Coturnix japonica: one gene and its partner. Each later gene encodes a partner of the first gene's protein in a complex. Links are inferred from orthologs where the notes say so. Each region holds a gene or a part of one and is shown on either strand. Other genes may lie near its edges. The genes, in order: BAG3 and HSPB8.

The links.
Region 2: BAG3 (region 1) and HSPB8 share a complex: the UniProt entries of both Homo sapiens proteins name them as parts of the chaperone-assisted selective autophagy (CASA) complex. The link is inferred for Coturnix japonica from reciprocal best matches to the Homo sapiens genes BAG3 and HSPB8.

The regions. Positions count from the first base shown.
Region 1 is NC_029521.1:27,003,581-27,007,388, reverse strand, and holds part of BAG3 (BAG family molecular chaperone regulator 3), read right to left. Parts: coding exon 3,645-3,808; intron 1,289-3,644; coding exon 515-1,288; 3' UTR 1-514. UniProt on the Homo sapiens protein: Co-chaperone and adapter protein that connects different classes of molecular chaperones including heat shock proteins 70 (HSP70s), e.g. HSPA1A/HSP70 or HSPA8/HSC70, and small heat shock proteins (sHSPs), e.g. HSPB8.
Region 2 is NC_029530.1:8,625,825-8,630,335, forward strand, and holds the start of HSPB8 (heat shock protein beta-8), read right to left. Parts: upstream 3,038-4,511; 5' UTR 2,610-3,037; coding exon 2,240-2,609; intron 1,477-2,239; coding exon 1,413-1,476; intron 714-1,412; coding exon 554-713; 3' UTR 1-553. UniProt on the Homo sapiens protein: Involved in the chaperone-assisted selective autophagy (CASA), a crucial process for protein quality control, particularly in mechanical strained cells and tissues such as muscle. Displays temperature-dependent chaperone activity.

The DNA of each region.
Region 1 (3,808 bases):
TTGAAGTCCTGCACACATATAAATATCCCTACAGTTTCTTACACACTTTCTACCCACCACTGCTTAAAGTGCCCAACTGTGAACATTAAAAATAAAAACATTGCTGTTACATGAGTGGCTACACTTAAAGAAGGACCAGCATTCCAACAATGCAGGCCTTTGATTGTACAAAAATCACCTGCAGAAGAATACATCCCAAACAACACACATCAATGTTAACCCCAAAGTTGTTCCTTTTCTTTTTATTTTATTTTTTTTTCCACTCAGAAGATCTAAAAGAGATTAATGTACAGAGTTTGTTTTTGAGAACATGTCTTTACATAGTGTAAGAATAAAGGATAAATGCATTACTTTCTTTCTAACTCCCTCCTTCCCCACAAGTGTTTACTGCGTCCCAAGCTGCTATGTTGATTAAAAACCAGTTGAAAAGAGCTCTGGAAATGCATGCAACTTAAAATTCACTTAAACACACTTTAAGTTACGAAGTCTGAGAGATTTTAATTTCAGCACATAGCTATGGCTCGGTTGGGTTATTAGATGTGTTTGTGGTGGTGGTCAGATTGGTAAACACTTCTTCCTTAGTCTCAGGCTGATGTCTTTCCATTTTGCTTTCCTCTTTAACATCTTTATTACTGGTATCTCCCTTGCTCTTGACTACCACAGGTTCAATCTCCATGATTTCCTGTGGTGGCTTAGGCTCTGCCAAGGTTGGCTGAAGTCCATCGACTTGAACTGGTTCTGGGACATCTTCTGCTTTCTGTTCAAGTCTTTCCAAAATGTTCTGGACCTTCCTTACACCATCTCTCCTGGCCTGACGCACATCCGCACGACCCTCGGGGTCCACCGAGTCTAGGGCTAGCAATTCTTTGGTCAAATACTCTTCAATCATCAAGTACTTTTTGTCAGTTTTCTTGCCTTCAAAGGAGTCGACTGCCTGCTCAAGCATTTGTACATTCTCCAGAATTGCCTCCACTTTCAAAACACCAGGATGCTTTTGAGGTTCTGCTGTTTCCGTTGTCTTCGATGTCACAGTTTCTTCAGGAGCAGGCCTTTCCTGCGGAGGAACAGCCTTAGCTGAACAGGGAACCCTTTTATCTGCTTTCTCTGCCATGGCTGGAGGCTTCTGAGGTGGTATTTTAGTATCTGGTTCTCGGTAGGTGACCGAAATTGGAATATATGTTGCAGGCACCTCAGTTTCAGGCGGTGGGATTGTCTTGGTTTCAGTTTTGATTTCAGGTGGTGGAGATGGTCTTGGTGGCTCTGGAGGAGGGACTTGTTGCTGAGAAACCTGGTGAGGAAGACAAGTTTATGTTGAAACACAGTCAACAATGTTCTTATTTCTTTTTAAAAACAGGTAATAAAATCATAAAAATCAAAAGCTTAGCCCAAGATAATTATTATTATTTGCTTTTAGGAAAGGATCCCAACTGCAGGTACTCAAACTGAAATCTAGAAAAACACCCTGATTTTCAGGAGGTGTCAGCATCTTTTCTTCTGAAATCCAGACCATTAAGCTATCTCAAATTGGAGTACACATAAAAGCCAGCAGATGCTCTTAAAAATCAAGGACTTAACGCTGAAGCATAGGAAGTACATTAGAGGTTGTTGCCAGGCATTTGGCAAAAGTACCCCCAAAGGTACACTTCCCTGTTGCCTTAGAGTGGTCCAGTAAGAGCAAGAGTGAGAAAGCTAAAAACAGGAATGAAAGCAGATGGAATAGGGATGGGATAGTTTCCCCATTCTTCTTTTTCTGGCAAAACCTCTAGTTTTGCCCATCCAACTTTCAGCTGTGGCAGATGTAGGCAAGCTGTGAGCCTCCCTTTTTGCTCCCTAAAGCACCATCCACATCACAAGGACTTAAGCAGAGCTACAAAGCCTTCAAGCCCAACAGGGGTCTTGTTTCACACTGCTCTTGTTATCCTAATTAGCTATGAATTTTCATTACATACTCTTTTCCCTGTGTAGTGCTGAACTTGAGGTTTCTAAACCACAAAGCTCTGTGCTCAAGAGATGATAGGTACTGCTTTTAAACTACTGCAATGAGTACCAGCACCAATCAGTTCTCAAGATACTAAACTACAACTGACTAAACTTTGCTCATGCCTGCTAAGATCAGCCCTACAAGCAGTTTTATAAGGTAGGACCTTCCAGCAAAGCTCTAGCCTGACTTAAATAAGATTTCAGCACGTGTCTTCAGCATCAACACTTCATTCTTAGAGTGTCAGCAACAAAGAGCTACTATTTCTTGAAAAGCTATCAGTACTTTGCTGGGCTTTAATCTCATCTGGGGCTATTCTCATTTCATTTTCCTACTTTCAAGGTAATGTTTTTGTTAGTGCTTAGTTTTAGTGATTCTATATTCTCAGTTTTACATGCAGAGGTTACTATGTCAATCTTATTATGCCAGAGTTACTGGAGACAATCAGAATGATTGCTAGAGATGTAACAGTCATCAAGTCAGAAAATTCTTAAAACTGATAGGAGTGATGAAATCCTATGGGAGAAACTGAATTCTTGAGACTTGTATTTTCCTTGTTTTGCCACCTCCTTCACTTACCCACTGTGTTTGTACATGGTTTTTGGAAAGGAGGTAGATTTGGCTCTCATTAACATACCCACATTTATATTTAAGCTATATATACTGGCCTGCACTGACACTGTTTTAACCATTAAATATTAGATTTGTTTAGGGAGCTCAAATTCTCACCTTCTAAAGATAAACTAACATTATAAACTATATGTCAGTCTTTACTCTTTTGTCCTAACACCTGGTTTTCCTGTCATTCTCAGCATGGAATCTCTGAAGAGAAGGAATCCAGGGTTGTTTTTATACATCACTCCTTCCCCTCCCATAGCAGGGAATTCCTAGTAGAAGACAACTCAAATAATGTTGAAGAATTCTTGACTCAAAGGACTTCTAACTGTAGCTTGAGTAAGAATATTTTGTTTAATGTGAAAAAAAGTATATGCTAAAAAGGGCAGCAACCAGCATCAAGTATTATTCCAGAAGAGGTAGATTCACAACTCACACTTCTCAGAAGTTTTTTTTATTTACAATTTCAATCAAGACTGAGTCCTCCCTGCTGCTATGGAGTCTATTTACTAGTAGCATATTGCTGGAAGAGGAAGGGTGTGTAGTTTTGGTCTTTTTTTCCTGTTTTATTGTTTGTTTGTTTGTTTTTTCCTTTTTGCTCTGGTTATAAAGTATTCTCAGATTAAATTGTGCCGATTCTCTTTCACCATAACTAAAATTACTCTGTGCAGTTGCTGCTCTCCTGAGTGGTTCGGAGACAACAGCGAGGTATATTTACAGATACCACAAATCCCATGGACTTGATTGGCTTCTCAGTACCATAATGCAATATCACTGACCTCAGAGTAATTGCATTAAATTATACTCTGAGAGGAAAGATCACATCACGTACTAGAAATGATTTGCTTAATGTATTTCGACAATCCAAAGACTTCAGAATCCTGATAGGTGGAAAGATGACTTGATGGAAGCTTATCTCAGGATCTCAGCAAGTTTAAGAAATGCTTTATGTGCTTTCATGTACCTGTGGGTATGAGCCACTGTTTCAGCTCTAGCCCAGCACGGCTAGCAGAGATAAGTGGAAGGTAATAACCCTCCCCGCTCTACATACCTGAGGTCTGTCTACGACCGTCTGTACTGTGATGGGAGTCGAGGGCTGTACCTGCTGGGTGATAATTCTGGCAGGTGAACTCTCACGACTTGATGCCCCTCTCTGAGTGGCTCTGAATGGAGACTGTGCTCGTGCTGTCTTAGGCTCCCTGTCATCTGGTTGAA
Region 2 (4,511 bases), on another chromosome or scaffold:
TATTCCTCAAGTCTGGTAAGTAAAATCACAAGTTCTTTTTGGAAAAAGAAAAAATAAAACAACAAAACCCAACAAAAATAAAAACAAAAACAAAACAAAACAAAACATGCAGACAGTTTACACTTCTCAGCAGGTCTGGTGGGGGTTTGTCTGCCTGGGGCAGGGCTGTGCCATTGGCCCCACTGCCGGCTGTGTCTGCAGGCTGCCAAGGGGCCAGCGTGGAGATGGAGTTCAAAACAAAACCAAAAACAGAGAAGAAGAAGACACGGGACCACGGGGTTCCACTTCAACTTAAGAAGAGAAAAGGGCACTTTTTCGCTATTGTTACAAATATCCCATCTGCTCACCTTACAGCATTAAAAGAACCGTAACGAAGACACCCATTCTGCTGGGTCTGATGGATGCAAAGCCTCTACCAGAGTGTCAGACCACTGTGGGGCAGCTGCTCCCAGGGAGCGGGAGGGGCCGTGCCCCGGGGCCACCCCGCTGGGGCCCGAGGAGCGGGGTTGGGGGGGAATAGGGTCGGGGGAGTGGAGCAGGGGCACAGGGGCCCTCAGGCACAGGTGGCCTCTGGGTTCTCTAATGGGATCTCGCTGCCACAGCTGCCCTCGCCGTACTGCTGGTAGGGGGGGATCTGGGGCGCCTCGATGATCAACAGCCCCTCCGGCGACAAGGAGGCAAAGACAGTGATGGGGTCCACCTCGTAGGGCAGCCTGGAGGGGGAGAGAGATGTGTGGGGTTAGGAGATGGCGCAGCCATGTGGGGCTCACAGCCTTCCCACTGAGATTGCCCAGCAGGAACCCTGTCTGGGCTCACAACCCCCAGTTGTGTTACTGCTGCAGTGCCTGGGAATGCATAGGGATATTTAAAGTGGCCCCTGGGCTGCCTGGCGCTCTGTTTAATCTCCGTGGCAGATGTGTTTGATGGGACGTCACTGCTGCCCGCGCTCGCCCGGCTGCTGCGTCGTGCCCATGCCTTGCCCATAAAAGGAGCCTGGCTGCTGGCTCCCACCCGCAGCACACGCGGCTTTGCTGGGAGGTTTTGGTAAAGCGAAGCTGCAGAGCCACTGCTGCACTGCTGTGGTTTGCCCTCGGTGCTGGGCTCGCCTTCCCTCCCTGCTGTTGTTGTTGCTGGGGTGAGTCAGCGCGATAGCAATCAGACTGACATCACTCAGATGTGGATGTGGGTGCACGTGTGGCCGCACACCAGGGATGGGTGTGTTTTGGGGCTGGTGATGAGATCAGCCCCAAAAGAGGAGCACGGTGCTTTGCATCCCTTTCTGCTTTCATATCTGGGCTGGAGGAGCCCACAGGGCTGGTTTGGGGATGGGAACAGCGGGGCTGCGGCCATCGCATGTCATGGGGATGGGGCTGTATTTGTGGGAGGACGCCCCGGGGCAGGGTGATACCTACTGGATTTTCTTGGTGAAGTTCTTGGAGACGATGCCTCCTTCCACCTGCTGCTCCTCGTGTTTGCCTGCGGGGAGGACAAAGGCGTGTCACCACCACACTAGGCTCAGGGCTTAAGCCAACAAGCAAAACAAACCCCAGGAACCCTTCCAAAGGAGTTGTTTTCCCTTCCCTCCGTGGGTGTCTCCCATGTGAGGAGGGTTACACCACAACCAACGAAGAACAGCACTAAGCGTCTGGCCTGTGAGGCTGCACTGGTTGGAGCAGGAGGAGGAGGAAGAGCTGCTCTCCCCGCCAGACACCTTTGCTTCCCATGGAGCCTGAGCCCTGCTTGCTGCCAGGAGCCAGGGCTTAAGAAGGAGCCATCAGACATGATCAAATCTTTGGATCCCATCCCCATCCTCAGCCGCTCTGCTGGGCTGTGTGCAAGCCCTACGAAGATGGGGCTCAAGCTCTGAGGCCTCCTGGCTCCCCCCAACCCACAGCATCCCCCCAGATCAGCCCCTGGAAGAAGTGCTGCGTCCTGGCACGGTGCTGGCAGCCCCAGGAGGTGCAGGGCCCTGGCCAGGGCGCAGCGCTGGAGCTCTGGGAGGTGCTTCAGGCTGCCTCGCTCTCGGCCCCTTTAAAGGGAATCTCCCTCAGCTCCGTCCTCGCTGGCTATAATTAACCCAGCCAGGCTGGGGCCCCTCTCGGCAGCTCGCAGCTGGGTGCCAGCTGGAACACAAATCCCAGAGATTCACCCCAAAGGAGGCTCGGCCTTCCCGTGTTGGTGCTGAGCACGCCACCATGGTCCCCAAGCCCCATCCCACTCCCCAAGCCCCAGCCCTCACCTGACACCTCGACATATCCATCCTTGGTTTTGACCGTCAGCTCCTCAGGCTTGAAGCTGTGCACGTTGACGCACACCTTCCAGGGCTCGCGGGAGGTGGGCACAGGGCTGCGGCTCTCCGGGTACCCCCCAAAGCGGGTGCTGTAGCCGGGGGCCATGGCGGAAGCGCGGGCACGCAGCGGGCCCGGCCAGGTGGGGGTGAGCCGGGGCCGAGCCCAGTCAGGCCAGTCTGCTGTCAGGTCCCCAGGGAAGGGTGAGAGGCCAAAATCATCATCCAGGAGGCGTGAGGTCAAACCGGGCTCTCGGAATGGGTCGCGGAGGCTCCGCCGGCCAGGGTAATGGCAGGAGAAGGGCAGCTGGCTGTCGGCCATGGCTCTATGCTCCTTGTGGAGCCTCAAAGGCTGCGGAATACCCCGGGGAGCCCAGCCCAGGGCAGGCACATCCACACGCGGGGGTTTGGGTGGGAGCCCGGCACCGGGCAGAGCGCGATGGGTGGAAGAGGTTCAGCAGGGCTGAGGCATCCGGAGCTTGGAAAGCAAGTGTGGGGAGGACGGTGTGAGCTGCAAGAAAACGCTTCCTGATTGGCTTCGGTCCCAGGGATCGGGTGGAGGAAAATAAAACTTCTTGTCCGGAGAGGGGGGGGGAAAAAATCAAACCGAATATCCCGAGATTAAGAGCTTCTCTCTCCCCTCTTGCTCCCACAAGCACTGTGCTGCTTCCCCACCGCTCCCGGGTGAGAGCTGCAATAAATGCCTGAGCTCCGAGCCGAGAAACTTCTGCAACCTTCCACCGCCGGGCGAGCGCTATTTATACGCTTGCGGGAGGGGGAGGCTGTGTTTTGCAATTCCTGCCCTGTCAGCCGAGTATTTTGGAGAGGATGAAACAGCCGTGGAGAATCCGGGCTGTGCAGCTGACCTCCTGCGCCGGCCTGAGGATCCCAGCAGGCGCGGTGTTTTTGGCACCTGCCTAAAAATAACTGGGGAGCTCAGGGTGGGCTGCACACACTCCTGTGTCACCCATCAAAAATACCCCCAGGTGGGGCCGGGCCCCACACTGCACACCCACTGCACCCGGAGGTGCGTCACCAGCAAAAAGTGGCTGGGATTGTGAGCTGATGCCCAGGGCTGGGCCTGGAGCAATGCCCCAGAATCATTGGGGTGGGAGTGGGACCCTACGTGGCCCCGTCCTCACCCACCTCCTCCTCCTCCTCCTCCTTCTCATCGCGTGCCTGGCCGTGCCGCAGCAGGGCGAGGCGTAATCACAGCCGCGCGGGGCTAATTACAGGGCTGTAGGGGATGGGGTGCGGCGGGGTACCTGGAGCTGGTGGCACTGGGGCTCCTGGTGGCAGTGGGGTTCCTGCAGAGGGGGTCCCAGCACGCCGATGAGTGTCACCAGTGATGTGCCAGATGCTGCACTGCTTCCTCGCTCCCTCCTGTTTCTACCTCGCTTTCCTCAGCATCTGCAATCTCTCTAATGGACTTGCTGGAATAAATTGCAGCAGGAAGGCCGTAATGCGCTGCAGGCCACGCTGCAATACAGCCGCTGGTGGCTCAGAGGGCATTAATCATGGAGCAGAGACATGGCATCGCTGGGCAGGGCCTTTGCCTGCATGGGGAGCGGCTGCTTCCTGCCCTTATCCCTCATCTTCACTGGTGGGCATGGGGAGACACAGCCAGGCATCATGGGGTCTCCCCAGGGACTGGGCTATGACTGGAGGTGTGGGGAGGAGCAGAGAAGCAGCAGTCAGCAGAGGCTGAAGTGTCCTCTATCTCTTGCCCTGCCTGGCTGAGTGCTCCCATCACCCAGAGTGACACCAACACACAGTTTGGGACAGCCCCATGGCCGCCTCCATCCCTACCACATTTCACCCCGAGATCTCCAGTCCCACATTTCCCGAGTAGCTCCAGGCCATCCTCCCTCCCAGGCCAGGAATCCGTCTTGTCGCCTTGCTTATCCCCATTAGTCACACGTCCCTCTCCAGGAATCCCAATTTAGCTCCTGTTGTCACTCCAAATCTCCCAGTCACCTCCCACAGCTGCCAGCACCGCCACGTCAGCTCTGGGGAGCGCAGAGCCCTCCTGTCTGCCAAGCGACCTGGGGACACTGCCCCATGTCTGTGTCTGTGCCATGGTCAGACCATTCCCAGGTGCACATCTCAGCTGCCCTCAGGACTTGGTGGCTGGTATTATCAGGGGACACAGAGCATCCCCACTGCCCCCAAAATGGTGTAAGATCTAACACTGCTGGCTTGAGCTGTTTGTAAGCTGAGGATG